Linked DNA regions of Lonchura striata. The protein of the gene in region 4 purifies or fractionates together with the protein of the main gene of each other region. This does not show direct contact. Links are inferred from orthologs where the notes say so. Each region holds a gene or a part of one and is shown on either strand. Other genes may lie near its edges.

Region 1 (7,463 bases), on a different chromosome or scaffold from region 4:
TCAGCTCCTGCCCTGATCTCCTGTTTTATTCCACTGGATCAGCTGGAATCGGAAATGGGATCGAGGAACTCCACACCAACCCCGTGTCCTGGGATCCCACCAACGCCCAGAGCACAAATTCCACCCCTGCACCGGGAATATTTGGGACAGAGGGAAATCCGTGGCATTTTCCACCTGCAATGGCACAATGTGGGATCCCTGGGAAAAGGGGAAAAATCAAGGAAAAGCTGAAATTCCTGGGAAAACCAAGGACAGGCTGAGCCTGCCCTGCTCACAGTAGAGAGGGAAAAGCCAAAATGTGGGAATATTTCTGGGAATGCAGCCCCGCTCTCGGATTTAATAAAATGTCACTGATGAGGAGGGGGATTTTTAATTTTTATATTAATTAAGCTGCAATTAACAGAGCTGAACCAGCCCTGTGTCTGAAAACGCCGGAGCAAACATTCCTGGATAAATCGCACCTGGAATTTCACTTTTTGGGCCATGGATCAATAATTGATCCAGTTTTGATATCAAAAGTCAGAGTTCGCTGCAGGAGGAGGTTTTAGGGAATTGCTCCAGCCCGAAGGCTCCCGGTTTTCCCTCAGTGCACCCCGGAGCAGGGGACGTTTCCCAGGATCTGCAGCTTCTCCCTGGATTTCTGCCCCACCGGGGGTGGCAGGGCAGGGGCACCGCGGGCCTGGGTGAGCCCCGAGGGGACACGGTGACATCACAGCATCCCTGGGGACACATTCCCAACCCCAAATCCTGGGGGTCAGAGAGAGCCTGAACCTTCCCAACCCCAAATCCTGAACCTTCCCAACCCCAAATCCTGAACCTTACCAACCCCAACCCCAAATCCTGAACCTTCCCAACAGCAACCCCAAATCCTGAACCTTCCCAACCCCAAACCCTGAACCTTCCCAACAGCAACCCCAAATCCTGAACCTTCCCAACCCCAAATCCTGAACCTTACCAACCCCAACCCCAAATCCTGACCCTTCCCAGCCCCAACCCCAAATCCTGAACCTTCTCAATCCCAAATCCTGAACCTTCCCAATCCCAACCCCAAATCCTGAACCTTCCCAACCCCAAATCCTGAACCTTCCCAATCCCAACCCCAAATCCTGAACCTTCCCAATCCCAACCCCAAATCCTGACCCTTCCCAGCCCCAACCCCAAATCCTGAACCTTCTCAATCCCAATTCCAAATCCTGAGCCTTCCCAACCCCAAACCCTGAACCTTCCCAACAGCAACCCCAAATCCTGAACCTTCCCAACAACAACCCCAAATCCTGAACCTTCCCAACCCCAAATCCTGAGCCTTCCCAACCCCAACCCCAAATCCTGAACCTCCCCAAGACCAACCCCAAATCCTGGGGCTTGGAGTAGAGTTCAAACCTTCCCAACCCCAGCCCCAAATCCCAGGGATTGGAGCAGAACCTTCCCAGCAGCAACCCCAAATCCTGAACCTTCCCAATACCAATCCCAAATCCTGAACCTTCCCAACACCAACCCCAAATCCCGGGAATCAGATCAGAGCCTGAACCTTCCCAACACCAATCCCAAATCCCAGGGCTCAGAGCAGAGCCTGAACCTCCCCAGCATCAAAGGGGCTCCCCCAAAAATCCACAAAACAGCTTCTGAAGCACAACTCATCTGAAGCACAACCATATTTTAAATATGGACAGAAAAACCTCCCCAAATCCACCCTCCGGGTCTGTTCCCTCCGCTCCCAAAATTCCCGTCTCCTCCACTCCCTGCACTAACACTTGGAAAGGTTATTCCCTAAAAAACAGGGATTTGATTTAGCACAAGGAGCAGGAAAAGCCCATCAAACGGGGGCTTTAATCCTCACTAAAAACCTGCCCTGAGCTGGATAAAACAATGTTAATTCCAGAAAAAAAGGAAAGGAAAACTTCCATCCTGACGGGAAAGCAGCAGCAGCAGCAGCTTTCAGAGGCAGCTTGCACCCGGCTGTGATTAATCAGCTTGTCCACCTTGTCCAAATAGTCCATCGAGCAATAATTAAAAATAATAAGCCAGAAATTATCAAATCACACACAATAACTGCAGAGCTCCTTCCCCTTTCGCTTTTGTTTATTGTTCAAACTTGTCAAGCCCCTCGCCTCGCTCCGAGCAGCCGAGCAGGGAAGGCAGAGCCCCTTCCAGCAGATGGATTTGCAGGATGAAAAATGTCCTAATTCTGATCCTTTCCACTCAATCCATGACCCTCCCGAATTGTCCCGCTGTTGTTTCTGCCAATCAGCAGCAGGGTCAGGGGACAATCCGTTGTCACCGGGTTTTGCTCCTCTCCAGGTACATTTTGTTCAGATTTTGTTCTGAGATCAGAACAATCTCCTGCCTGCGTTCGCTTGGATGTTCTGCGACAAAATATATTTACTAAATGAGATTTGGGGAGCTAAACTCCAGCATGCACCACCCTAAGAGCTGAGATTACCCAGGGAAAACAATCCAAATTATCACCTGTAATATTTGCTGAAAGTTTACCTTTTTCGCCCCAAACAACAACGCAAAATTCAGCGGCCTTCTCCTGGAATATTGGATATTTAGCAAAGGAAAGAAATACAACTCTGGGAAGAGTCCTCGGTGTTTCAGGAATAAAAAAGCCCCAAATTCCCCTGGAGAAAAGCCCCGCTGTGCTCGCAGTGCCCCTGTTCCTGCAGACAAAGGCTCTGGAGCAGAGCACAGCCACTTACCTTTAAACTCACCCAGAGCAAAACTACTTCCCAAAAAAGTTTGCAAGTGCAAAAAAAAAAAAAAAAAAAAAAAAGTGAAAACCAACCCAAAATCATCACCAGAACCTCAGGGAAAACTAAAACAACCAAGGAGAGGGTTTTGAGTGCGTTTATTCCCAGCTCCTTCCCCACTGCCTTTTCCTTTTCTTTACATTTTATATATATTTCTTTTTTATTCTTTTTTTATTATTATTTTTTCACATGCCCTTTCCAATACCTTGAAACCCCCGTGGTCAGGGTGACGACGACAATCGCGACAGGGCACGGAGGCGGCCGCTGCCCCCAGGATTGTCCGGCCGCACAAAGGCTGCAAATGAAAGCAGCAAATGAAAGCGGCTTCCAGAAAGCCCCAACTTTAACGCTCGAGTTGCACTGAAAAATTCTGGGCTCCGGCTTTGGGAAAGGAGCGGAGCTCGGAGGTTTCTGCCCCCGAAAGGCGCTGAGAGCACAAGGAAGGAGGTTGGGAAGGGGTGCAGCTTTTTGGGCAGCTCCCACCAAATCCCCTTCTCCTGGAGCCTGAAAATCCAGGACCTTTCTCGCCCACCGGGATGGGGATCGCAGTGCCAGCCCCGGGTTCGTTCGGAGCCGCTCCGGGAGCCGCTCCGGCTGCAAACGGGACTCCGGTAAAGCCCGGGATGTTTCTGTGAAGGGAAAGAGCCGCAGTTACCCACAGATAACCCCGGGCCGCTCTGCGTTCAGACACTGATCAACTCGGCCAAACTTTTATTTTTGTGGAGAGGGGGAGGGAAGAGGCCGCTCCTTCCCCGGGCACGGCTCCAGGCCGGGATGCGGGACCGGGATCGGGAACCGGGATGGGGAACCAGGATGCGGCACCGGGATGCGGGATCGGGATGCGGGACAGGGATGAGGAACTGGGATGAGGAACCGAGATGGGGGGAACCGGGATCTGGGATTAGGATGAGGGATCAGGATGAAGAACCGGGATGCGGGACCGCGATGGGGAACGGGGATGATGGTCCAGCAGCCCGATCCGGCGCAGGGAAAGCCGCGCCGGGGCCAGCGGGATGGGGAATAACCATAAAAAGAGGAATAAACGGGGAACGCGCGGATGTCGCAGCACGGGGTGGGCGGAGGGACGCGCCGGACACCCCATCCAAAAAGCAAAAAGAATAAAGAAAAAAAAAAAAGTAAAAAGTTTTAAAAGGAGAAGAAGCGAAAGCGCAGCGGCGACTTTGGGGTGCCCGGGGCCGCAGCCCCCGGGGCCGGCCCCGCTCGGTGCCCGCGGTCCCGGGGGCGCGCCCGGCCCGGCCCGGCCCCGCCGCCCCCCGCGCGCCGTTCCTGAGCCTCTGGCGCCCCCTCGGGACGGAGCCGCGCAGCGCCCGCGGCCCCGGCGCGCTCCGCTCCGCGCGTCCCGCCCGCCGCCAGCGCGGCCGCAGCGGCCCCGCCGGGCCCATCGGCGGGGAGTCCCTCGGCCGCCCGCGGGGAGCCGCGGGGCGCCGCCGGCCGCTGTCGCCGCTGTCGCCGCTGTCGCCGCCGCCGCCGCCGCTGTCGCCGCCGCCGCCGCCGCCCGTCCCGTCCCGCCCCGGCCGGGCCGCGCCCCCCGCGCCGCGCGGCCCCGCCCCCTCCCGCGCGGCTCAGCCAATGGGGGCGGAGCGGCCCCCGCGGGCCGCGCGGTGATTGGGCGGCGCGGGCGGCGCGCGGCCCCGCGCCGGGTATTTGTGCGCGCGGCGCGCGGCGGGCGCAGAGCCGCGCTGGAGACCGGCGGGGCCGCCGCGCCCGACTCTGCCCCGGCCGCTCGCCCCGCGCCCCGTCCTGCGCTCCTCCTGCTCCCCGCCTCGCCAAAGCTTCTCCCTGTCCTCGCTTCGGAGTTTTTTGGTCTTCTTACTTTTCGTTAATTTTTTTTTTTTTTTTGGCGTTTTTGTGCTGAGGAGAAGTAATAAAAAGTTTTTGGTTTGTTGTTTTTTTCTTTTTGCGAACTTCTCGCTGTTCTTCTCCCTCCTCTCCGCCGCCGGTGGAGACTTTGTTTCTCCGAGTTTTTACTTTTTTTTAACCCGTCCCTGCCCCTTAGCGCCTAACTTTTTTATATTTTCGATTATTAATTTTTTTTTTTTCGCCCCCTCGTTCCCCCCTCGGCCACTTTCTCGCATGAATCTCCTCGACCCTTTCATGAAAATGACAGAAGAACAGGACAAATGTATCTCCGACGCCCCCAGCCCCACCATGTCGGATGACTCCGCCGGGTCCCCCTGCCCCTCTGGATCCGGCTCGGACACGGAGAACACCAGACCCCAAGAGAACACCTTCCCCAAGGGGGACCCGGACCTGAAGAAGGAGAACGACGAGGACAAGTTCCCGGTGTGCATCCGGGAGGCGGTGAGCCAGGTGCTGAAGGGCTACGACTGGACCCTGGTGCCGATGCCGGTGCGGGTGAACGGCTCCAGCAAGAACAAGCCGCACGTCAAGAGACCCATGAACGCCTTCATGGTGTGGGCGCAGGCGGCCCGCAGGAAGCTGGCGGACCAGTACCCGCACCTGCACAACGCCGAGCTCAGCAAGACCCTGGGCAAGCTCTGGAGGTGAGTGCGGGGCCGGGATGCCCGCGGGGAGCGGGGGATGCGCAGCGCGCTGCGCCCGGGGAGAGGATGTGGAAAACGCGCTGGAAAACTTCTGCGGGGTGCAAAACTTGTTTAGGTCGGGGAGAAGCCAGAATAGGAGCGGGGGAAAGTAGGGAAAGTCGTTCGCCTTGTGGCGTTGGAAGTGGTTTCTGTTCCCGGAGCGGGCGGACGGTGCGGAGCCCCCCGGGCTGCCCCGGCCGCTGTTTGTTTGCGCTGCCGGTGCGGAGGAAATGATGGATTTTGGGGATTGCATCAGCTCGGGCCGGGCCGGAGGGAGCGCGGGGCGATGCGGGGAGGGAGGGAGGGAGGGAGGGAGGCGGCGGTGAGTGGCGCAGGGCCGGGTGGCCTCCGAGTGCCAGAATAAGGCGGGGAAGGGAGGAAAACACGAGGCAAGTGAGTCACCTGGGCCACCGCGTCCTCGGGGACTGCGCGGGGGCCGGGGGACCCTACAGCGGTGACTCGGCGAGGAAAGCTGGCCCTGGCACGCTGGGATGTCCCCAAAGCGCCCGGGGACAGCGGGATGTGCCCACAGCGTGGGGAGGGCTGGACCCCGCTGCAGCTCTGCTCTGGTACCGAAGGGATCTGGGCGACAAGAGGGTGGCAACCGCGGAGTGCCGGGGACAAAGGGGTGACAGCCAGCGAGTGTCCCGGGCAGGGGGTTCAAGTTGTGGGGGGCTGTGCATCGCTCTTGGGGGGATGCGAGGGAGGGATCGGCACCGGTGTCACTGCCCGGCGCCCCCCTGAGCCACGAGTGACCCCGCGCCCCCCGTGTCCCCCCAGGCTGCTGAACGAGAGCGAGAAGCGCCCGTTCGTGGAGGAGGCCGAGCGGCTGCGGGTGCAGCACAAGAAGGACCACCCCGACTACAAGTACCAGCCCCGGCGGAGGAAGTCGGTGAAGAACGGGCAGGCGGAGCAGGAGGAGGGCGCGGAGCAGACCCACATCTCCCCTAACGCCATCTTCAAGGCGCTGCAGGCAGACTCGCCGCAGTCCTCCTCCAGCATCAGCGAGGTGCACTCGCCCGGGGAGCACTCGGGTAGGTACCCGCGGAGCCTGCGGGGGGCACGGCGCGGCTGCCGAAGCCGCAGCCCAAACCGGGCTGAAGTTGGGGTTGGGCGAGGGGAGGGAAAGCAGAGAGCCAGGAAGGGAGTGAGAAGGGGGAGAAGTACCCGCGAGCTGCGCCCAGAGCCTGGGCACACGGATCTCACCCCAGCGTGCCACTGCGGCCACGTCCCCGTGTTTTGCCCGTGGGAAACGCAAACCCACGCCTTTTAAAGCCCGCTGGGACACCTGGAGGCGCGTGTGCCCCGGCCACCGCTGCCACACCTTCACCCCTCTCCTTCCTCCCCCAGGCCAGTCCCAGGGGCCCCCCACGCCGCCCACCACGCCCAAGACGGACCCGCAGCCGGGCAAGCAGGACCTGAAGCGGGAGGGCCGGGCGCTGGGCGAGGGCGGCCGGCAGCCGCCGCACATCGACTTCCGCGACGTGGACATCGGCGAGCTGAGCAGCGACGTCATCTCCAACATCGAGACCTTCGACGTCAACGAGTTCGACCAGTACCTGCCACCCAACGGGCACCCCGGCCAGGTCAGCTACACGGGCAGCTACGGCATCAGCGGCGCCGCGGGCACGCCGGCCGGAGTCTGGATGTCCAAGCAGCAGCCGCCAGCGCTGAGCGCCGAGCAGGGCCAGCAGCAGCAGCAGCAGCAGCAAAGGACGCACATCAAGACGGAGCAGCTGAGCCCCAGCCACTACAGCGAGCAGCAGCAGCACTCCCCGCAGCAGCAGCAGCAGCAGCAGGTGAGCTACAGCTCCTTCAACCTGCAGCACTACGGCTCGTCCTACCCCAGCATCAGCCGCGCGCAGTACGAGTACGGCGAGCACCAGGGCTCCTCGGGCTCCTACTACAGCCACGCCGGGCAGGGCAGCGGGCTCTACTCCACCTTCAGCTACATGAGCCCCACGCAGCGCCCCATGTACACCCCCATCGCCGACACGGCGGGGGTGCCCTCCATCCCCCAGACCCACAGCCCGCAGCACTGGGAGCAGCCCGTCTACACGCAGCTCACCCGGCCCTAAGAGGGAGGAGGGCGTGACAAAAAAATTTAAAAAAAAAAAAATTAAAAAAAATAATAAAAAAAGGGCAGGAA
Region 2 (7,038 bases), on a different chromosome or scaffold from region 4:
GAGCTCCAGGAGAGTTTGGACAAGGTGGCATTGCAAGGGCTGAACAAGGTGGCATTGCTAGGGTGAACTGTGCAGGGCCAGGAATTGCACTTGATGCCCTTGTGGATCCTTTCCAACTCAGCATATCTGCTAAAGAGGATCAAGGTGCAAACCACTTCCAAGTGATTTAAGCCACTGTTTGACCCAACTCTCTGGTGGTCAGCTGCCAGATTTCACCTTCCAGAGACCCAGCCAAACAAGGTGAGAGGGCTGAAGCCCCAGAAGACCCACCTGAAAGTGCCTGAAGTGTAGCCCCCTTTCTTCCCTGGCAGGCAGCGGTATGTCCCCACCACCTGGATGCGGTCCCCAGGCTTCACCCTGTCCACCAGGTCATCGTCCAGAACCACATCCACCGAGCGTGGCAGCTGCCCCGCCGGGGCCTTCTCAGGCATCTCCTGGATGGTGATGGTCTGGTGGTCCTTGTAGACCGAGAGGCCAAACTCTGTCTCCAGTGGGTTGTTCTCTTCATCCTAAAGCAGGAAGCCAAATGAAAAGATGAGCACCATTTTTCAGAAGAGCAGGGAGGACACAGGGTGCATCACCCACTCTGCACAAGGCTGCTGGAAAGGGTTGTTTAGCAGGACTGGAGGCTGGGGATCACCAGCTCCATATTGAAGCTGGCACATCCTCCCTAGAGGAACCTGCTGCTGCTTCACCTCACCTTTGTAGGGTAGATGGAGCTGGATGGGAAAGCATCCAGGGAGGTCATGTCTGCGTATCGGCGCTCAATTGTTTTCTTGGTAGCTGGGCAATAATGGACACTGCGGACAACTTTCGGACGCACCAGAGAGCCTGGGGTTGGAAAAGAGAGGAGTTAGGGGCTGGGATGTCCCACCCCTCTGTCAGCAGGCAGCCCCCAAACGGGTCTCCAACATTAAGATTACTTGGGTCACAACTCACTGTCAAATATGGGCAGGACTGGCTGATTTTAAAGACCACCCCAACATTCAAGACCTTCAGCCAAGCTCCCTGGCCCAGGCTGCCAGGATACAGAATCATAGGATGGTTTGGACTGGAAGGAATATTAAAGATCATCCAGTTTCATTCCCTGCCATGGGCAAACACACCTCCCACTATCCCAATCAGCCTAGCCTTGGATACTTCCAGGGATTCAGGGGCAGCCACAGCTTCTCTGCACAACCTGTGCCAGGGCCTCCTCCTGCTCACAGCCAAGAATTCCTCCCCAGTATCCCATTTAATCCTACCCTCTGTCAGAGTAAAACCATTGCCCCTTGTCCTGTCCCTCCAGATCCTTATCCCAAGTCCCTCTCCACACCACAGCTCCTGGAGGTCTCCAGCTCCTCCACAGCAAACCCCCAGCCCCTCCACACCCCAGTCTCACACTTTGTCACGATGCCCTCCACGCAGACGATGCAGCTGAGGAAGCAGGCTGTCAGTGTCCGTGGGGACACGTGCTTGGAGCCAAAGCTGCCCTCCAGCCCGATGTAGAAGTCCTCGTACTGCTTGGCATAGGTGGCATCGACAGAGGCGACAAAATCCTTCAGGGCACGCTGGAAGGCGATCAGCTCCTCGAAGGCATTGCTCAGGAGCCTGCAGCACAGGGAGGTCACAAAGCAGGTGGGTCAACCCCTTCCTCATCAGCACTTTTTCCCCACTCCCCCACTTGCTCGACAAGTTTTCCAGGAGCAGGAGGTGAAAAAACATGAAATCCATCACAACTCTGTGCAAGGTGCACTGGCACCAACAGCAAATAGGAGAAAGATTCCAAGAATATCTGAAAAGCCAGATTGACCAGGCTAGTCCAATATATTCTTGAGCATCCTCAAAAGGGCTGAGAGAAGTGGGGTTGGTCAGCCTGGAGAAGACCTTAGAGCCCCTTTCAGTGCCTAAAGGGACTCCAAGACAGCTGGACAGGGATTTGGGACAAAGGAATGGAAGGAGAGGACAAGGGGTAATGGCTTCATGCTTCCAGAGGGAAGGAATAGATGGGATATTGAAAAGGAATTGTTCCTTGTGAGGCTGGGGAAACCCTGGCTTTCACCAGAGGACAAGGTCTGGTGCTTTCTTGTGACAAATGACCTGCAGAACCAGGGCTGGACCTCTGAAACACCTCACAAGCACAGTGTCCCAGCTGCCCCACACCCACCTGCTGGCTCTCTTCTCGTTCTTGCGCCGCAGGTCGTTGATGTTGACGATGAGCCGATACTGGTTGTCACTGATCATGTCCCGGACCTTGCTCTGGTAAATCCCTTGGTCTTCCTACAAGTGGGAGTGGAGTGAAACACACCCAAAAATCAACTCACTTTGCATGTCCGCCTGTGTGAAAAACCCCTCAGAAGCCCATTCCTGCAGAGCTGGATCCCCTTCATCCCACCGGCAAGCAGGAAGGGGCAACACAGGGACCAGGTGCTCCCTAAAGCCGGTAGCAATGGGGGGACACAGGAACCAGGGGCTCCCAACCCCCTGGGGTACATGGCGGGGAGGATCAGGTAGCTCCCAGTTCCCGGGGGCATGGATCAGGGGCGACGGACGGGAACAGCGACCAGGTGTTCCCCAACTTCGGGAGTAGACATGGGGCGGGGGCAAACAGGGATGAGATGCTCCCCAATCCCCGGGGATACAGGGAGAAGGGGACATGGGGACACGGATCAGGTGTTCCCCAACCCCGGGGGCATGCAGGGGACGCAGCACCCGCGCCTCCCAGCTCGTCTCACCTCATCGTCCAGGAAATCGAGGTAATCGCGCTGCGCCTCCCGCAGCTCCGCATCCTCCAGCCCGCCCGCCGGCGCCGCCATTCTGCCGGCCGCCCTGGGACGGATCCCTCCGCCGCTGCCGGGGAAGGCAGTGAGCGCCGAGGGGAGCCGGGGGAAGCCGAGAGGAGCCGAGAGGAGCCGGGGGAAGCCGGGGGAAGCCGAGAGGAGCCGAGAGGAGACGGGGGAAGCCGGGTTGGCCCCGCGATGCGATCCGGCCCCGGCGATCCGCCCCCGCCGCGCTCCCGTTTCGCGCCAAACGCGGCTCCTTTCCCGCCACCGCGCGGGAAACCCGCCCCCGTCCCGCCCCTTGGCGCTGCTGATTGGTCGGCATCTCCCACCGCTAGCCAATGGGGTGGCGAAACAGTGATAGACAGTACGCTTAGCTTATCAACGCGCGGGGGCGGGGCAGGGGGCGGGGCCAGGGGTACCGGGGATGGGGTTTGATCCCGGCTCCGGCTCTTGGAAGTCGCCGAGGGACTGAAAATGCCGCTTTAGGAGGAAAAAAAAAAATTAAAAAGCAAACACGAAAACAACAAACCCACCCAGATATAATCTCAAACCAAGAAAAGTCCAATAAAAACTAATTAAAAACTAATTTAGGATTTTGTTTTTTATGTTGTATTTTGGTGAGCTCTGTTTCCGGGTGTTTTCAACCCCTACAGGCTGGGTGGGTGTTGCTTTTTCCTTTAACGTGGCCCCGGTGTGCCTCCAGCAGTCTGGGGATAAACACCCAAAATGGACAGGTCTTGTGGTATTTGGAATGGAAAAGACGATTTTGGATGTGTCTTAGAATCTCAGAATTTTTGGGGTTGGAAGGGACCTTAAAGTGCAAATTATTCCAAACCCCTGCCGTGGGCAGGGACACCTTCCACTATCCCAAGCTGATCCAAGCCCCGTCCAACCTGGCCTTGGACACTTCCAGAGGCAGCCACAGCTTCTCTGGGCACCCTGTGCCAGGGCCTCCCCACCCTCACAGGGAAGGATTTTCTTCCCCAATATTCCACTTAACCCTGGCCTCTGGCAAGTTAAAAACCAGTCTCCCTTGTCCTATCACTATCTGCTTGTGTAAAAACTCCCTTTCCCTCTTTTTTCCAAGCCTCCTTTAAATCTCCTAAGAGGAGTGAGGAATTCCTATTGTAGGCAGGAATCAAAGGTGCCTCTGCCTACAGGGAAACCTGCAGCTCCTCCTTAAAATAACCACTGCAGTATCCCTTAAAAATCTTTATCTAAACTCCTCTTTAAAAACAGGAAAAGAATAAAAAGCATGACAAAACTGTTTTGATCAGCAAGGCATACCAGGCACACAAACTTGGCGGTGTCCCCTGGATATTGTGGCTCACAGCAGTTTTTCCAGAGTAATCCTGGGAATAAATATTCACCCCGGGGTGTGCTGGGCTGAGGCACAGAATTCCCGCTGCCAGATCCCTCCTCTCCAGAGGGAGCAGCTGCGATCGATCGGTGTTTCAGAAGAGGAGCAGGAAACAGCCTTTGCCCCGTTTCCCATTTTCTGTTTGTGTGGATCAGATCACTCACTGGAAACGTCTGGCAACTCTGGTCTGGGATACGTGCAGTCCACGTCCAGGGTATTTGTCTTGTTCCTGAGAGATTTTTTTTATTTTTTTTTTTTTTAATTTTTTTTTTTTTTCCACAAAGTTCAGACCTCCTTTTTAGACCTTTTAGCCCTGCTCTGGAATAATTTGTTGCAGTATTCAGTTTGGCAGAAATAAAGGATTTTATGCTCTGCTGCTGTTTTCTTCCTTGTCCCCTTTTCTTCTTTTATTTTTCCTTTCCCTTTTTATTTCAATTTATTTTCTTTTTCCTTTCCATTTTTCTTTTTTTTTTATTTTTTTTTAATCTTCCAGGTTGCCCTGCTAGCTCCAGATATGTTCCCTGCGGCTGGAATATTTTCCCTGTTTCTGCACACTCAGCAGGACCCATTTCCCTCCAGCTCCTCCTCAAATCCACCCCTTCCCTCTGATTTGCTGGACATTTCTTGTTTTCCTGAGTGGAGAAAGCACAAAGAATGAACAGAGAAAACCTTTGGCGTGCCCCTGGCACTTTCTATTTCTATTATTTCTTTTTCTATTTCTATTTCTATTTCTTTATATTATTTCTATCTCTATCTATTTCTATTTCTACTTTATATTTTACTTTTTTTTTAATGGGCAAATCATCTGCTGAGAATCTAAACTGGCTGGAGGAATCTGTGTAAGCCCATAAAGGAAATGTGATTTATCCCATATAAACTGCCAGAATCCACTGCAAGATTTCCCCTCTAAGACGCTTTTTCTCCCTCTGCAGCAGGCAGAATATTAAATCCAGCAATGGACAGTCTGCATGCTCTGCTGCAGATAAAATATGGGTGGAAAAAATAAAATATGGGTGCAAAGCACCCCGTGAGTAGAGCACAGAGCGGGTACCAGGGTGGGATTCAGGCACATCTATGCAGAATACACAAGATCTCACCCACATTTGGATGGTCAAAACGAATCCCAGCCTGCAGAGACGTGGATGGCTGCACTTTTCCTCCTGCCAGGAGCTGGCAGGGCCCCACCGCTCCTGCCTGAAAGGTAACAGGAGTTAGGGATAAAAATAGCCGCTGTTGTTATTCATGACAGCGCCCTGCCCTATAGCAACTGCTGCGTGCCTGAATAATTCATGGAGCAGGGCAGGCCGAGGAGGACAGAGGGATGGAGAGAGGGGGAGAAGGCTGGGAAGAAGCAAGAAGCCTTCCCTGGCTTTTGGGACTCCCCAGGATTGTGCCCAAGGTCCCCCTGGGTTCACCTCCCTGCTGCATTCCGGAGGTTACAGGGTGGAAAGGCAGCGCAAGCTCACAGGGACGTTTAGCACTTCCTATCCACTGGAAAAAATAAACAGGAATTAAGCACTTAGCACGCAGAGGGCCAGGTCTGGAGGGCTTGCAGAGAAACAGAAAGCTCAAGGGTGGATGCAGGAGCATCCATGGGTGAATTGCACACGGAGCACTTTAAGGGATTTTCCCATCCCTTCCTCACACCTCTGTGTGTCAGCATCCACATGACTCGGTTTCTGAGGTTTAATGGTACCCTGTGATCCTTCTGAGATTCTGGGACGTTGTGGGGTTTTGTTTTTGCTGCTGTTGTTTTTAGTTTGTTTGTTGGGTTTTTTTTCCTCTTAGTTTAACTAAATGTCACTTTTCAAGCCACAGCTCAACTATCAAGTTGCCATCTATTCGCTTTCCTTGTAGGAAGTGAGTAGCCTTGCCTCACCCATGAAGGGCAGGAGAGAGGCTTGTGGTTCATTTGTAGCTCCAAAAATGGGAGGAGAATATCCCAAATTTGATGGAGTGTCACCTGATCATCAAGCAACACACTGGAGTGGAAGCTGCAAATCTATTTGTTATAAATAGAAAGATAATAACACAGAATGCAATGTTTGGAATGGAAAAAAGTCACTTTTTAGAACTGAAATTATGTGGAGAAGGGAGACCACCTATGAGATGTCTTTATCAGGGTAAATTTTGCATTTTCCAAGGGATTAAAGGGATTTATATTTACTGGGCTCTCCTGAAGCTACAGTTGCAGGAGCTGAACCCTAACCGGGGCATGAATTCTCTCTCAAAAGCAGAGTGTTGTCCTGACTCTCCTCACAAATAATTTAATGCTGAAGGGGCCCTTCTTAATCTTCTCTCCTGACCTTTTCCCTTACATAGGCTGGAGAATTTCACCCCTTTGCATCTTCACCCAGCTCAGGCATTTCTGACATAATTTTCTTTAAATATTTGCTATTCCCACACACTCTGGTAAATCTTTAAACGGTTCTAGCTCTTGGGTTTTTTTCCTAATTGTGGAGAAGAAAACATGGAAAACTACTATCAGGGTGTGTAAATAGAATTTCTTTACTGAAAGGCACAGGGAGCTGCTGGTATCTGACCAGGAGAGCACAGGAAAGTGGGTAAGGAGTTAAAGCTCTGACCTTCAGTGTGTTTGGATGGGCTGTAACCACCTTCTTTCTTCCCAGAGTAGGAGCCCAGAGCATATGGATCTGTTTTTCCTCCCAGATGCCTCTAGCATGCTCCTAACACAGTGATGGGAACATAAAATCTTGTGATCCTGCTCCTGATGTACAGCTACCCCAGATCCCGTGGGTGTTCATTCTGTTTTCCTGCTGTGCAGGAGGAAAATACAGCAATTAATAGAAAACCAAAACAAACCCACACAGGCCCTGCCTGCGGGCATAAGGACAACTGAATTTCAAATAAAACCAGAGGAGTGGCTGAATCAACAACAAAGGTCAGGAAGGGGGC
Region 3 (7,654 bases), on a different chromosome or scaffold from region 4:
AACCTGGAGTCCCACGCCTGATCCCTGCCATATTCCCAACCAATGGATGTATCTTTGCTCCCGTGATACTGCAACACCAGGTCCTTCAAGGATCACACACCTTCTCCCCCAAGTTCTGATTTAGAGCCTCTAATGACCCACCCCTTCCAAGGTCTCCCTCAACCTCTCAATTTTGCAGTGATTTTACCAGTTTTTTTGCAAATAGATTTTCACTACTGATAGTCCCATACTGCCCAAGATCTCAGAGGTGCTGGAAAACTCAAGAGACAAGGCTTAAGAAAAAAATGCCAAACTAATAAAAATTCAAAACTCCACAGCACCATCTTCCCTCCTCCAGTTACATTTCTCATATATGACAAAACACTCCAGCATGAGTTAGTAGGAAATCCCACACTTGTCCTACAATTGACTATATACATCACTCCTTTTTCACAAGGAAGTGAAGAATCCAGATGCATGTCCACAGAGCAGGTCATCAATAGCAGCAACAAGAAAAAAAACGCAAACCAGAAGAAATTCCAGGGCTCTAACTCAAGCCTCATGTTGATGATGAGGATGCAAATACAAGGGGAAAAGCAAAATACAAGGACTAAAAAAAAGCAAAGGTGAGCAAGCAGCACGGAGTAAGAATCCTCAATAATTGGGTGTGGTGATGAAGGAAAGTGGGTCACGCAACAGCCCAGGGCAGTTTTCTCTGGACGTCAGCCGGTCTTAGTTCCCAGATGAAAGCAAGCCAGGCAACCTGCCCTTTCACATACTACCTCCTCTACCCCCTCCCCATTCATGAAAACTGAAAGCATTTTGGTACCCCGGTCAGAATTGGACGCTCTGCCTCCACCCTCTACACCTCCTCCAAGCACAGGCCCTGACAGCCTGCAATGGCTTGGAACAAAGTCAGCTCCACCTGACACAAAGCCTCGAGCCTCTCACTTCAAAGTAACCCTGGGACTCAGAAATCAAAAACATACGTGTGACTTGCAACAAAAAAAAAATTTAAAAAAAATTGCATTCCCCAACACATCACACACTTCACATATTCAGCTTGAGACCAACATTATCCCCACTGCACATGCATGCCCTGCAGGCCCCCCCATACCTGGATGCTGGGGGATAGCGTTGTTCAACAGGATCTCCATCTCATCATCATCACTGCCCCCTGAGCACGGTGATGGAGATCCAATGCCCGAAGCCATGTCCTCCACACCGCGGGAGGCCTGGGCTTACACAGGTTTTCTGTCGTCTTCTTGCCAGCCTGGCCAGTACTTCATTGAAAAGAAAAAGAGAAAGTTACAGCAAACCTGAACTCCGTTCTCCCGAGCAATAGTGCAACTAAGAGGATCTGTGAGAAAGCTTAGACAGCAACTTTACTGGCTTTGGAGCCTATGGATAACAGAATCACTGGCAGCAAGTATCAGTTTAGAGTTGTGATAAAGCAGGCTTTGGAGACACTAGATATTAAACTGAGTCAGCAACTCATCGCTGGCGAGGAAGCCAAAATAGCTGTCCTAAAGGAAAACTCTCCCGTCCTCTGCAGCCGGGTGCCCTCGGTTGTTTCTGCCTTGAGCCAGGAGCGGGCAGAGGGGCAAGCAAGGCAGCCGGGCTCGCGAGGGAGCCCCGGGGGCAGCGCGGCGGCTGTCAGCGCGGAGCGCTGGCCGGCAGCCCCGGGCTGGCACCGCAGCGCCGGCCCGGCCGCACACAAAAGGCCGGGCGGGCTCGGCGCCCCGCTCGCCGCCCCCGCCCGGAGCGGGGCCGCGCGGCGCAGGGCGGGGGCGGGGGGCACCGTCTCCCGGGCGGGGGCGCGGGGCGGGGCCGGGCAAGTCCGGCGGGCGTGCGGCGAGGGGCCGCCGTGCCCCGGGGCCGGCGCAGGCCGGGACTGCGGGCACCGGCGAGGCGGCTGCGGGGCGGGAGGAGGGGCCGGAGCCGTGCTGCGGCCGCCCGGGCAGGGGAACGGCGCGTAACCGGGGAAGCCGCGGCCGGAGCCGGCGGGGCGGCCGGCGGCGAGACGCGTCTGCCGGCCCGGACGCCCCAGGAGGCGGCAGATGGCCTCGCCCGCCCTCGTTCCCTCCCGGCTCCTCACCCGGCTCCGGACCCCGGCTCCTCTCTCGCCGCTGCCGCCGCTGAAGGGAAAATGGCTCCGGCCGCGGCACCGCCTCTTAAAGGGGAAAAAAACCCGGCTAGGCCCCGCCCCCTCCCGCCTACATCCCATAATATGCCCCAGGACCCCGGCAACAGGCCCCGCCCCCGTCTCCCCGGCAAACACACCCCCCCTTCCCCCCCCCCCCCGGCATCCCATAATACTCACCCTCCCCTCAGAACTTCCCACTCACTGCCCGGCCCGGCATCCCATAATAATCGCCACCCCTCCCGCCGGTAACATCCCATAATACTGCCGCCCCCCCCCGCCCGCACCTTCACCCCGAGAAACATCCCATAATACTCCCGCAGGCTCGCACCCCTCCGCTCCGCATCCCATAGTGCTGCCCCCCGCCGAGGAACATCCCACAGTGCTGCCCCCCGCCCCGCGCGGGACCCCGGGGCACGGCGCCCCCCCGCGCCTCCCGGGGCTGCCATCCCATAATAGGCGCGTCCCCCCTCCGGCGGGGAGCGCGCGCTGTGGGGACCCCCCCCCCGGAACATCCCATAATAGTCACACCCCGAGCGCGCACATCCCATAATAGTCACACCTCCCCCCTCACCCCCCCCCCCCCCCCCCCGCCTCGCGCCCAGGCAGGCATCCCATAATAGTCGCCGGGAGTCACCGTCCAGCCCGGCATCCCATAATACTCGCGGCCGCCCGCCCCGCTCCCGCACCCGCGGGGCTCCGCCGCCGCCCCCCGCCCGCCCTGCCGGCACCGCGGGGCCCGCGCCGCCCCAGCCCCCGCTCCGGCACGGGGCACGGGGCCGACCCCTGGCACCGCGCGGCCGCCGCGCACCTCCCGCCCTCCTGCGCGCTGGCACCGGCCCCGGGCACAGGCTCCGGGCACCGCCCTCCCACCGCCGACCGCCCCCGACCTCGGGGCTGAGCGCCCCGCTCGCTTCCCTGCCACGTCCTGCCGTGCCCCAGCCCGCACGCTCCGCCCGCCAGGCCGCAGGACCCCTCCAAGGCCATCCGTGCCCGGCGGTCACCGCCACCGCCAGCCTGTGTGCGGGGAGCCCGCAGTGACTTGGGTGCCTCCCCTGCACCCCGAGGCTTCCTGGCTGCTGGTACCTGCAGAACTCCCTACCCCAGAGATCCGCATTCTCCCAGGCAACTAGAGACAGGACGAGAGCACGTAGTCTCAGGCGGTGCCAGGGGAGGCTTAGGTTGGGCATCAGGAGGAATTTCTTCATGGAAAGGGTGATCAGGCATTGGAATGGACTGCCAGGGAAATGGTGGAGTCACCATCCCCAGAGCTGTTTAAGAAAAGGCTGGATGTGGCACTTAGCGCCATGGTGGTGTCTGGCCAAAGGTTGGACTTGATGATCTCAGAGGTCTTTTCCAACCTAACTGATCCTGTGATTCTGTGATACACGCCATGTCCATGTACCGCATTCCTCCCTGTCACCCAGCACCCTGCTCCCTGCTGCAGCCTCCACCAGGAAACGCATAGATTTGCACAGACGGGAACGGTCCCTCGGTGTAAGTATACTCCAATTATACACATGCAACTGTATCATTAATTTCCCATTAAACAAAATCACATCCCATAATGCCGCCTTATCCTCCGCTGAGCATTTTCATAGCACTATTAATCTCAACAAAGAGGTGCAGTCCTGTCCGTCTCTCCCAGTAAAATGTGTGGGTGTCAACAACTGCGCTCGTTGCCTCCGCTGTCCCACGCCTGGTGGTGCATGTGCACGTTTCGTCCCGCCACAGCGAAACACGCCGCAACACAAGAGGAGGATTGGCTGTTTACAGACAGCAACAAGTCGCTTACAGATCCTGCAACACAAGCCGGGCTTTGTCTGCTAAAGCTCACTGAAAATACATCCACGCACACAGGTGTTCCATAACGCCATCCCATCCCCTCGGCCGTGTGCCGAAGTGGCTCTGGCTATTGGCAAGCTCTCCCTTACCTGCGCATGAAGGCTCCGACCACCGCCTCGCACTGGCAACTCTGCTGAGATACCACCAGGCTCCACCACCACATCCATGTGCCCATCTCCACTGAGTGCTCCCGCAGAGTTCCACAATGCACAGTACGTGTGCAGCCACTCCACAGCACGAGTTGCGCCTCCCGTGCCCTTGTTCCCGCCTCTCAGCAAAGACTAGACCAATACATCCCAACAGGCTGTTGTGTAATCCATGTTCCTGCACATACAAAAATCCCACCTACCTCTCCAGCCATCAGCAGCACGCACCCTGTACTATCCCTGTACATACCTTTGCCCACATGACAATGATGCTCTCATTTATCTCAGCTCCATGGAGGAAAAGTGGTAGGAAAGAGCACACTGCTCTTCCAGAGATGCTCCATCCTTCGCATAGATCAAGCAGACCATCCAGCGCTACAGAAACGTGTGGTGGACGACACCACCACCAAACTCACACGGATCTCTGCAAGGACTTCTCATTCCCTCTTGTGTGTGCTGACACAATCCCCTCTTAACAGGAGCCAGGCAGACAGACAAATTCCCGAGCTGAGCAGCCCAGCACCGACCAGTGCCCATGAATTCCATATTTGCCTCTTTCCCCAGTGGCTTGGCCACAAGGGGAGAGGTGTGATGCAGATGAAGATGAAGATCCTGCAAAGGGAGTCAGGTGCTGGGGCTCTCTGCAGGTGATTCCCAAGGCTCCTGCCAGCATGGTTATGGTCTGAAGAAGGCTGTTTGCTAATGGTTTTAGGCAATGTGTGCCCCAGTGCCTCCGAAGGCTCATTCCCAATGAGCCACCACCTCCCTGAAATCTTTCTCTGCATGACAAATTAGTACATTTTTATCCCAAGTGTACCCAAGGTTCCCCACCTCAGCTCCAACTCCTTTTTTCCTTTTTAACTTGAAGTTTCTTAGTCAGCAGAAATCTTAATTTTCCCTCAAAACAAAAACTCCATATGGGATATACATGATTATGATCAAGATGTTTCTACTGTTTGTGAGGGCCAAGTAAATTAAATGGATTAAATATATATATATTTCTAAATATTTTCCTTTGATGAGGAAAGGATAGATTTCCATGAGATAGATTTCCAGTTATTTGGCTGCTTTAAACTTGGAAGTTGCCATACCTTACTGTGGTTCAATTACTTACCCAGTTTAATTGAATCTTTTGAGTTTATAGCACTTGGCTTGGAAACAATTACAGTAAGATCTGTGTAATTCAATCTTACCCTACCTGTGCTGATGGGTGTCAACACCCCAAAACAACCCCCCAGCATACTTCCCATGGGGAAAATGCCTGCAACATCTTGCTTTGGTGTTGCGCCCGTGTTGGGAAACCCAAACTGGCCAGAGGACCTTCCACACACCCCTGCCCAGCTCTGCTTCCAAGAACTGGGTAAAGTGGACTCTGTACTCTGCGCTCCCAGCAACAAGCTGGGGTGACCTCTAAATAATGTCTGTCATTTTGTGTGGTCTAAGTTAGTCAGGGTTCAGGTCCCTGCACGAGACCCAGAAGAGTCCTGCCCCATCCTCCTCTACCTTGTGGGCAGCTGCCCCTGTCCAGGCTTTTACCAGGCCCACAGCCCTTTCTCACTTTCACTTTTCATTTATGTTCCCTTTTAAACATCTTTCCCCAAGGTAACAAGAAGAACAAAGCTTTTTACATTGTTTCACTCTGGAACTCAGGGTTGTAGGCTGGAAAATTCAGTCCTGTGTATTTCAGTGCTGCTCAGTGTGGACGCAAGGGAGGAAGGAACCCCAGAGCATTTTGGAAAGGGGGAGACTCTCCAGCCTAGCATGGACCGTTCGTATGTGGGACACAGATAACAGACTACAAGCTTGCCATGCTGGTGCTGCAGACAATGTGATCTGAAAGATCGGTTTATGGTCTTTCAGGCTATTTTTTGTCAGTTCCTCTTGCGTTCCATAACAATTCAGACGGGTTGATGGGTTTAGATGTTGGGCACCGCAATGCTGCCACTGTATTGCTTCATTTGTGTGCTGGGACACAGCCATACTTCTGTTCTCTTCATTTTTGCTGTTTTTCAGACTGAGGGTTGCTCCAGCCAGTCTGTAATATCTCTACTGTCAAGTTACATACAACCAGTAACATGAAAAATATCTTTCAGTGTCTGCGTAAAACTGGCAGCCCCCGATGTACCTGTGAATGTGGTGCTGTTCTGAAAAGGCTGCAGCTACATTTCACCTCTTCCTTTAACCTAGTTTTGACTGTTTGTATCTAATATGGATGGTCTTACTTCTCATGTCTGCCACTCAGCAGCCCTGTAAGCTTTCCAGATCATACTGAGGCTTGCCATGACTGAACTAAGGTTTTGCCACTTCTGCAAAGGAACCCTGAAGATCCCAGCATTTCTGAGAAGCCTTGCCCTTTATTTTCTCTTTGGTAAAGCAGAGAATTTTGCCCTAGATAATTTTTTTGAGTGGAGAGTGGGTATCGAACTCTGAGATAGGTAATTTTTACTTTGGAATTAGCAAGGAAAAGGTTCAAACTTTCATTCAGTATCTGAGTATTGTCCCAGAATCTGTGTCTCTTCAACAACCAAGTCTCCCTGCCCCCATTTTAAACTATCTTGTGAGAATTCTGTATCCCCAGCAATAGCCAAAGTAAATGTTCTGGATTCTGCAAGTCTCCCCCAACACTACAAAAGCTTTTTCCTCTGCCCAGGATACACTTATCCACTCCCAGCTTTCTACAAAGTCTCCATGGCAAGCTAAGGAAATCTAAATGACCAATTTTCATTGTTGTTTTCTTCATCATGCACCCCCTTCTATTTTTCCCCCCTTATTTAGTTTGAGTGAGGTCTTTTTCAAAGAAAAGCATGAGCTTACTTGTTTAACCCAATGGAAGTATTTTTACTTTGTCAGAAAATGACACAGGAAAGTCTCTTCATCTTGTGGAGAGAAGACAGCCCTTCCTGTCGTGTCCAAGGAGCTGCTCCTTCAGTAGACAAATGCCACTGGAACAAGAGACAGATAGAGACTTGCACACAGAGGATTTTGGAGCATACAACCAGAATAAGGTCAAGAACATGTGCTCCTTTTCTGAGAACATCCTACTGTCAATGGAGGATCGACTCTCTAAACAGCCACCTAGGTGAGGGCTGCCCATACGCCAGCGTGACTCTGCGTCTACTTCCCGTTAGGGGAAGAGCATTTCAGACTTCGCTCGGCACTCGTCATGAGCCTCGTCTCCTGTTTTGCCAGGAGAAGGAGGGGGCAGGGAGAGCAGCGTGGCCGTGCCGCACCGTGTCAGCCAGATGTGCACGGTGCAGCAGGCAGCGCTGGCTGCACACAACTGTGGTGGGGGAGAGACAGAGAGGATTGGGGGTTGCTCAGCCCCCTGGAAATCAGAACGGCTGATCTCTATCTGTGTGCGCTTCGCTGGTTTGTTTGCTTTAAAAAACATCACATACTTGGTACTGACACCTATAGCTAAGGTTACTCGATATTTTCCATCACAAGTCTGTTTTCAGTTACTCAGAACTTTGCCAGACATCAGATAGTCAGATTCGAATTTTCCACGTTTATTTTCACTTTTTTTTTTTTTTTCTGAAGA
Region 4 (7,050 bases):
TTTCAGAGACACTCGAAGGGCCACAGGGTTGTGGGACAAATCCTGCTGAGGGGAAGCAGGGAAGTTTCATTTGTATAAATTATTTCCTGAGCAGTATTAGGGAGCAGGGGAGGCTGGCTGGGTGAGTTTGAGATGTTACACTGCTTCTCTATCCAGCAGCTGGAAGGGGAAGGCCACAGTCCCAGCTCCCTCTGGGCCGAAGGAGATTATTATTCCTCTGCCTGCTCATCCCACTGAAGCTGGACTGCTGAGCTCTGGGCATCACATTGACCTTTGCAGTACAAAGGGATCTTATCTTGTTCTTTGTAGCCCTCAAAGCAGCTGGGCATGCTTACAAATTTCAGTAACTACCAGCTAAGGCCAAACAAGATCCCACGATAAAACTTCAAGGCTCTGCATTCCTCTCTTATTGCTTTCCTGAGCAGATTCTCATTTTAACTGGACTTATGGTCCTTTCATCCAGTTATCTTAAAGTACATAATGACTACTGTAATTACTGACATTAATGAGCTAATCAATTCTTCTAGGCATTATTTTCAAGGGATAAATATTACTATCCTTGCTGTAAGAATGGGGAAACTGAAGCAAAGAGAAGTTTTTTGATGAATAGGTGTGTTTTACTTTTAATATTATAATATCCTCCTGGTTTTATTTTTATAGGTTTATGCATTTTCTTCTTAGTATGCTTTATGTTGTTATTGCTTTCCAGTAATGTTATCTGTCATGGGTTGTGTGCATGTACCAAGGTTCATTTAAGAAAACTGCAGTGATTTGAGAAAACTTAACAGATATTGAATAGTTTTTTGTCATTGTTTATATATATATATTTGATTTATCATAACCCTACTTTCCTGGCTTTTCCTTTACTTCCTCCTTCTTTTATTTTTGGTGCCTTTTTAAGGAAAATACCACAAATAACATTCTTTTCTATTTATTTTCCATATACTTCAGCTTGCATTTAAATCTCTAATCTGGAAAGCCATCTGAATATGACCTTTTAATGCCTAAAGAACTAAGATATTCTACTGGGTAGGAAGCTTGCAAAGCAGAACTATAGCTTTACTGAAGTATCAGTTAATCACTTATATATATATAATTAATATTCAGAAAACATATGTTGGTTTGGTAGCATTTATGTAAGAGTTTAAGTTTTCCACAGTTCAGGTATGCATCCCTGAACCCTTTTCAAGGATAGACAGACAGGTAGCCAGACCAGAGGGTAAACTGCAACAAAAACAAACAACCAAACAAACACCCAACAAACAAACAACTTTATTTTGTTTGCCAGCACAATTTCAGGTGAACTGAATGGTAGGATCTAGTCTCTAGATAGGAACAAGTGTCTCAAAACTCTTATTTGAAACATTTTATTTGCTCCCAACTTGTTGTTTAGTAAGGGCCTGACTTCTAAAAGCATTTAGGTGTTTATGTGCACTTCAGCATCTTTAAAAAGCCAGCACTAATTCCTTATTGAACTGTAGACTAAGGGTCTCCAGTCTGACAATTTTATATTGACTTATTTCAGTCAACTTCTAATTCTAATGAGACCAAAAAGTTAGTCTCAGCTGTGTTAAAAAATTGCTTCACAAACAAGAGAAACTGTCAATCTGAAAAAAAAGCAACAACAAAAAACCAACCAACCAAACAAAAACCCAAAAAACAAACCTGAGGTAACATAAAATCTCTATAACTGGCATATTTTGGGAAATTTAGAAACAATAAAAGGCAAAAAACCTGTGAAAACCACTAACATAGTTTCTAAGGTGTCACTGTTAAGTTTTAGGCTGTTAGTCCTGACAGCTTTAGTTTTGAGACTTTGAGACTTTTTGCACTACACATTATTTTCCCGAGGCTTATTTGTAGCGGCAAGGCTCTCTCCACCTCTCTTAACGTAGTGCCTATGCATTCAAGAATTTTCAGGAAGCCTAAATCCAATCTTTGGGCATTTTTGGAGTGGTTTGTGTTTTCCTTTTTGCGCTGGGGAAGACAAGAACAATCTTGTTTAAAATAAAACCCAAACAAGGGAAGCTGAAGAGTGGGAGTATGTGAGGGAGCTGGTGAATAACTTACAGGGCTGTGAATCTCCTCCTGCCTGTAGGCTCCTCTTGTAGGCTGCAGTATTGATTCTGTGTTTAGTCTAGGCTCTTCCCAAATACCTGCTGTGGCTCTTACGTGGATTGCAGAGAGCTCGTCCCTGAGGGTGAGCGGCAAGGGAAGTCCTCCTCGCAAATGTCCGGTTTTGGATCAACACCCCCTGATTCTCCATCCAAAACATGCACGTGCCTGCATTTCCCTTCCACTCCTATCTCGTAATGGTGTGCGGCCCGACGGAGTCCAAACGCACCGAAGGGAAATGCCGGGATCGGGCATTTCCTCACGGATGAGCCCTCAGAGATTTGAGGAAAACTCGTGGCCCGTAACCTGTGGGACGGCTCGGGGGCTGAGAGGGCTGGCGGAGGACCGCGCCAGTGTCACCTATGCCTGCGACAGCCCCTCTGATGGGCGGGAGCGCTGTCAGGACTCCGCGGTCCCTCGTACCGTGCCCTGCGCCATCCCCGCCACACGCTGGGGTCCGGCGGAGAGCGCGGGGCTTGTGGGCTTATTTATCCTTTGGCGTTTGGGGATTTTTGTCTGTCTTGTAACGCCGACGGGAGCCTGAGGCAGCTCTGGGCACCCCCGGGATGGGCAGTACAGAGCGCCGCCGGATTAGGAGGAATTTATTCACAGAAAGGGCAGTTAAACATTGGGAGCTGCCCGGGGAGGTGGTGGGGTTTCCGTCTCTAAGGGTGTTTAACGAAAGACTGGATGTGGCACTCAGTGCCATGGTCTGGCTAACATGGTGGTGTTCGGTCACGAGTTGGACTCGATGATTTCAGAGATTTTTTAATCTAATTGATTCTGCGATTGTGTGATTCGCACATCCACTCGCCACTTCGGGGGCCTCGGGGTGCGGCCCCGCTGCCCAGGCCCTTTGCTGGCTGGCCGGGTGCTGCCATGTCTGTGGCGCAGCACGGCCCGGGACCGGCGGCAGGAGGGCCCCGCCCGCCGGCGCCGCGGGGAACCGGCCGGGAGCCGGCGGGCGGGAGGGAAGGAAGGAGGGCAGCGAAAGAACCGCGCTCTTCCCGCCGGCGCCTCAGCCCACCGGGCCGGGCAGCAGGCACCGGGTGGTGCAGCAGCAGACCGGAGCGCCCACAAGGTCCGGCCAGGCTCCCCTGGGCCTACGCCGCGCACTTTTGGGCCGACAGATAAGGCCGTATGGGGCGGGGCAGGAAGAAGGAGCCTTTTTTTTTTTTTTTTTTTAAGGGAAAAACCCTTCGCCTTTAAGGGGCGAGGCCAGCGGAGTTTGCGGAAGAGCCCGGAGAGAGACGAGCGCTGAGTGGGTAAGCGCGGTCTCGTGACGGCGGCTGGGGCGGTGCCACGCCCCCCACCCCGCCGGCGCCCCGCGTTCCATTGTGTGCGCTAACGCCGCCGGGCCCCGCCCCGCCGTGTCCCCGCCCACGGGGCTGACCACGCCCCGGTGGCGGCCCCGCCCCCCGTGTTCTCTTGGCTCATTTCCGGCCGCCGCCGCCACCGCCGCTTCCCTCCGAGGGCTCGGGAGAGCGAAGGAACAACAGCCGCCATTTTGTTTGTGTGTGAGCGACGGAGGGAGGAGAAGGGAGCGAGAGGCCGAGCCGGACGGGGCGAGCCAGGGGGAGGGCAGCGCACAGAGACCCAGGGGCACGGACAGGGGACGGGGAGAGAAGCGAGGAATCCAGACTCCCCTCCCCCCCCCAACCCCAGCCTGCCCGTCCCCTCGCTATTCCTTCTCTTTCTGTTTCCTTTTCTCTCTTCTCCTTTTCCCGGAATTCTCTCTTCCCGCACTGCCCTCCGCCCCCGCTTTGCCCGCTCCGCACACACGCCCCCGGAGCGCCAGGCAGGGGCAGTAGGGAGCCTGCGCTCGGCCCCCGCGCTGCCGCCGTCCCGCCCCGGCCCCCCCCGCGGGGCAGCGCCGGGGACCCCCTCCCCCGCCCGGCCATTCCGGGGCGAATCCCCCGGCCTTCCCCGCCGTGATTTTTCTCCTGTTTTATTATTTTAATTTTACCTCTCGATCCTCTTCTCCGAGGGGTAGCTTGCGCGGCCTCCCCTCCCACCCCGACTTCCAACCTCTTCGCTCCCTTCCCCACCCTCGCAGAGGCGAAGGGGGAGTCCCCACCGCGCCCGAACAACAGCCGAGGGTCTCCTCCCTCGCTCATCGCGCCCTGCATCGCCCGTGGGTCCGGGGGAGCTGGGACGGGCAGCCCCCTCCCTGCCACCATCCTCGGCCGCCCGGGAAGGGGGAAGGTAGGCAGAGAGGGCGGGAGGGGCCGGCTTCTTCTTCCTCCTCCTCCTGCCGCTGCTGTGGGATCGGCCCCTCTGCCTGCGCCGGAGCGGGGGGGCAGCCTGCTACTGCGAACGAGAGAAAGAGGAAGGGGGAAGAAGAGAAAAAGAGGGGGCAGAAGGGGTGTTGAAACCCGCCCCCCACCTTCCCATCCCGCGATCGGTGCTGCCTCCATCAGGACAACAACCCCTCCTCTTTGCCTGCACAACAAGATGTGAAGCGGAGACTCCTGGGACTTATCCTCACCCTCCTCATCCTTACAGCTCCCCTTTCTGCAGCCATTAGCGACGGGCGAGGAAGAAGCGAGTGGAGCTGGGGACCCCGCGCACGCTGTGCCACTCCCCCCCGCCGCCTCCCCCCCAGCCCTGTCGCTGGCGGTGGGTATTTTTTCGCAGGGTGGTGTTGGAGGGGGAAGGAGCCGCTGCTAGAGGACGGTGATCTTTTTTTCTTTTTTCCTCCTCCTCTCCTCTCCTTCGCCCGCCTCCTTGTGGCGATGAGGAGGAGGAGGACGGCGCCGAGGAGGAAGAGGCTGATGGCGGCGGTGAGGAGGCAGCAGGAGGAGGAGACCCCCCGAAGGATGAAGATGATGATGGTGGCGGCGGCGAGGAAGCACCAGCACAACAGCCGGGATTAATTTTACTAAAAAAAAATTAAATATTCACCAGCCTCCATTTTTAATTTTTTTTTCCTTTTTTTTTTTTGGCGGGGGCTTTACCTGCTCTTCCCATCTTCGTTCAGCCCTTTCGCCTGGGGGAAGAGGCCTCACCCCCGCCCGCCCCAGCTCCCACCTCTCCCAGATTCTCTGCTGCCGCCCTCCCAGAGCCCGAGAAGCAGAAAAAGGGGAACTTGGCCCCCCTTCTCCGCCAGATCCTCCTCCTCGCTCTCGGCCTTATTGTTGTTCTTCAGCTGACTCCGGGCCCCAGAAGACCGTGAAGGTTTTGGGGTTCACCCCCCACCTTCTTTCTGCTCTGAGCGATTGTCTAAAAAATTAAAAATGGCCGAGAATGTGGTGGAGCCGGGCCCGCCTTCAGCCAAGCGGCCTAAACTCTCCTCACCGGCGCTCTCCGTGTCCGCCAGCGACGGCACAGGTCAGTCTCGGGGCCCCAGAGCCTCCCCGCTTCTTGGTGCCGCAATTACTGCCCCTTTCTCCCCTGTTTTGCTTAAATCTCCTCCTCCCTTTTGCTGCTGTTAGCTCGAGCCTGCTTTTCTCCTTCCCGTCTGTTTCGCCTGTTCTCGCTCCGTTTGAAGCTATTTGCGTTAATGGCATAGGGAGGGTGTTCGGATGTTTTTGCCCTTCTGGTTTTTTGGAAGTGATTGAGAGCAAAGCTATTCAGTTTATTGTGCTTTTGATCAGCTGCAGATAGGACTTAACAGTTCGTCATTTTCGTGTCTTTCACAATAATAGCTTAGCTCCTTGCTAAGCATAATGCCAGTTGCAGAAATACGAAGTGCTAAAGACGATGCTTTTGTACACTTTATTGTTGGATTACGTGTGTGCGCACAAGTTTCTTGGTTTTGTATTTTATTTTGCATATACGGGGTTCTTCTAGATCTTGTTTAAAAACGAGATTTATTTCTCTTGCTGTTTTTCTTTTTTCTTATATGCAGTCTGCATATATGATTTACTTCTTACAATCCTCCGTTCTTCCTGTAGAAGTGTATCAAAATACTGCTTTTCTGATTCAAATAGACCATCGGCTTTAGGAAAAACAGCTAAAACCAAAATTCAGATGCCATGCTTGTGGCATAAGGTTTATTGAGACTTATCTTCTTAGAGATGAAATTTTATTTCACCTTATTTGCCTTAAGAATCAATATGGAGTGTAGTTAATCTTGCATCTCCTGTTTCTTTGCTGCAAGACCAAAATGTCTGAAATTCCCCTGTAGACTTAAAAGCTGTGAAGAGAAAAGGGGCTTCTCTGCAGTCCTGCCAAGGTCTTTGGTGATGCTGGGAAGGCAAGCTAGGACATGGAAATTTTAGGTGACCCAGTCCCCAGCAAATATTAACTGGTTGTACTGGGAATGGGGAGGAAGTAACAAAGGGCTGTTTTTTAATATTTCTTGCGAAGCAGATGAGTATTTGGTGTCATTTTGCTATGAGAATACTCTGTTACCTGGAGTTTCTTTGAACTCTCATTAGTTCCCATTAGATCACATTAGAAACTATTAACCTATGGGATATGGAGGAGGCCTCCTCCTCCTGCCAGTCTGGTGAGTGGTGGCATTTCTGAAGGCACCCGTGCTCTTGTTCAATGCAGTTAACAACTGGCAAGAAAAGGGAAGAGTTGTTTTCTTGTTGTTGGTTTTTGGGGTCTTTGTTTTGTTTTTTCTGAAAAGAGATTTTAATAGCAGGTCTTTGAGCAGTGGATGTGGTTCTGCTTGGGATCATCTCCAAAATTTTGATTTTGCCTATTCTATTCTCGGTGAATGATGTATTAGTTTTGAAAAGTTTGTGTGTGACTTTTAGTGCATATTAAATACAGCCAATATTATGTTGTAATTGGAGGACATGACTATTCCTAACATTAACAGGTCTCTAGTAAGAGAGTAGAAGAGGGTTGGAGAAGCTACTCTTAAGCGAGAACTAGTTGTTGGCTGTTTTTTTGCTAGATTTGGAAAACAGTGATTAATTCAATAGTAACCGTTTTAAATTTGTCTTGATAGTGGTTATTTTGCTCTGTTTAGAGAGGTGA

What was found.
Region 1: the proteins of EP300 (region 4) and SOX9 purify together in Homo sapiens (affinity purification with western blotting; 3 studies listed by BioGRID). This does not show direct contact. The link is inferred for Lonchura striata from reciprocal best matches to the Homo sapiens genes EP300 and SOX9.
Region 2: the proteins of EP300 (region 4) and MCM3 purify together in Homo sapiens (affinity purification with mass spectrometry; 3 studies listed by BioGRID and IntAct, with this or other methods). This does not show direct contact. The link is inferred for Lonchura striata from reciprocal best matches to the Homo sapiens genes EP300 and MCM3.
Region 3: the proteins of EP300 (region 4) and CHD4 purify together in Homo sapiens (affinity purification with western blotting; 4 studies listed by BioGRID, with this or other methods). This does not show direct contact. The link is inferred for Lonchura striata from reciprocal best matches to the Homo sapiens genes EP300 and CHD4.

The regions. Positions count from the first base shown.
Region 1 is NC_134621.1:10,674,890-10,682,352, forward strand, and holds the start of SOX9 (transcription factor SOX-9), read left to right. Parts: upstream 1-4,454; 5' UTR 4,455-4,844; coding exon 4,845-5,275; intron 5,276-6,094; coding exon 6,095-6,348; intron 6,349-6,664; coding exon 6,665-7,392; 3' UTR 7,393-7,463. UniProt on the Homo sapiens protein: Transcription factor that plays a key role in chondrocytes differentiation and skeletal development.
Region 2 is NC_134605.1:110,349,669-110,356,706, forward strand, and holds the start of MCM3 (DNA replication licensing factor MCM3), read right to left. Parts: upstream 3,017-7,038; 5' UTR 2,796-3,016; coding exon 2,715-2,795; intron 2,260-2,714; coding exon 2,147-2,259; intron 1,591-2,146; coding exon 1,382-1,590; intron 832-1,381; coding exon 701-831; intron 510-700; coding exon 271-509; intron 1-270. UniProt on the Homo sapiens protein: Acts as a component of the MCM2-7 complex (MCM complex) which is the replicative helicase essential for 'once per cell cycle' DNA replication initiation and elongation in eukaryotic cells.
Region 3 is NC_134604.1:29,474,621-29,482,274, forward strand, and holds the start of CHD4 (chromodomain-helicase-DNA-binding protein 4), read right to left. Parts: upstream 3,003-7,654; 5' UTR 2,934-3,002; intron 2,425-2,933; exon of another isoform or gene 2,410-2,424; intron 2,153-2,409; 5' UTR 2,078-2,152; intron 1,263-2,077; 5' UTR 1,194-1,262; coding exon 1,097-1,193; intron 1-1,096. UniProt on the Homo sapiens protein: ATP-dependent chromatin-remodeling factor that binds and distorts nucleosomal DNA. Acts as a component of the histone deacetylase NuRD complex which participates in the remodeling of chromatin.
Region 4 is NC_134607.1:24,936,517-24,943,566, forward strand, and holds the start of EP300 (histone acetyltransferase p300), read left to right. Parts: upstream 1-4,031; 5' UTR 4,032-5,351; coding exon 5,352-5,445; intron 5,446-7,050. UniProt on the Homo sapiens protein: Functions as a histone acetyltransferase and regulates transcription via chromatin remodeling. Acetylates all four core histones in nucleosomes. Histone acetylation gives an epigenetic tag for transcriptional activation.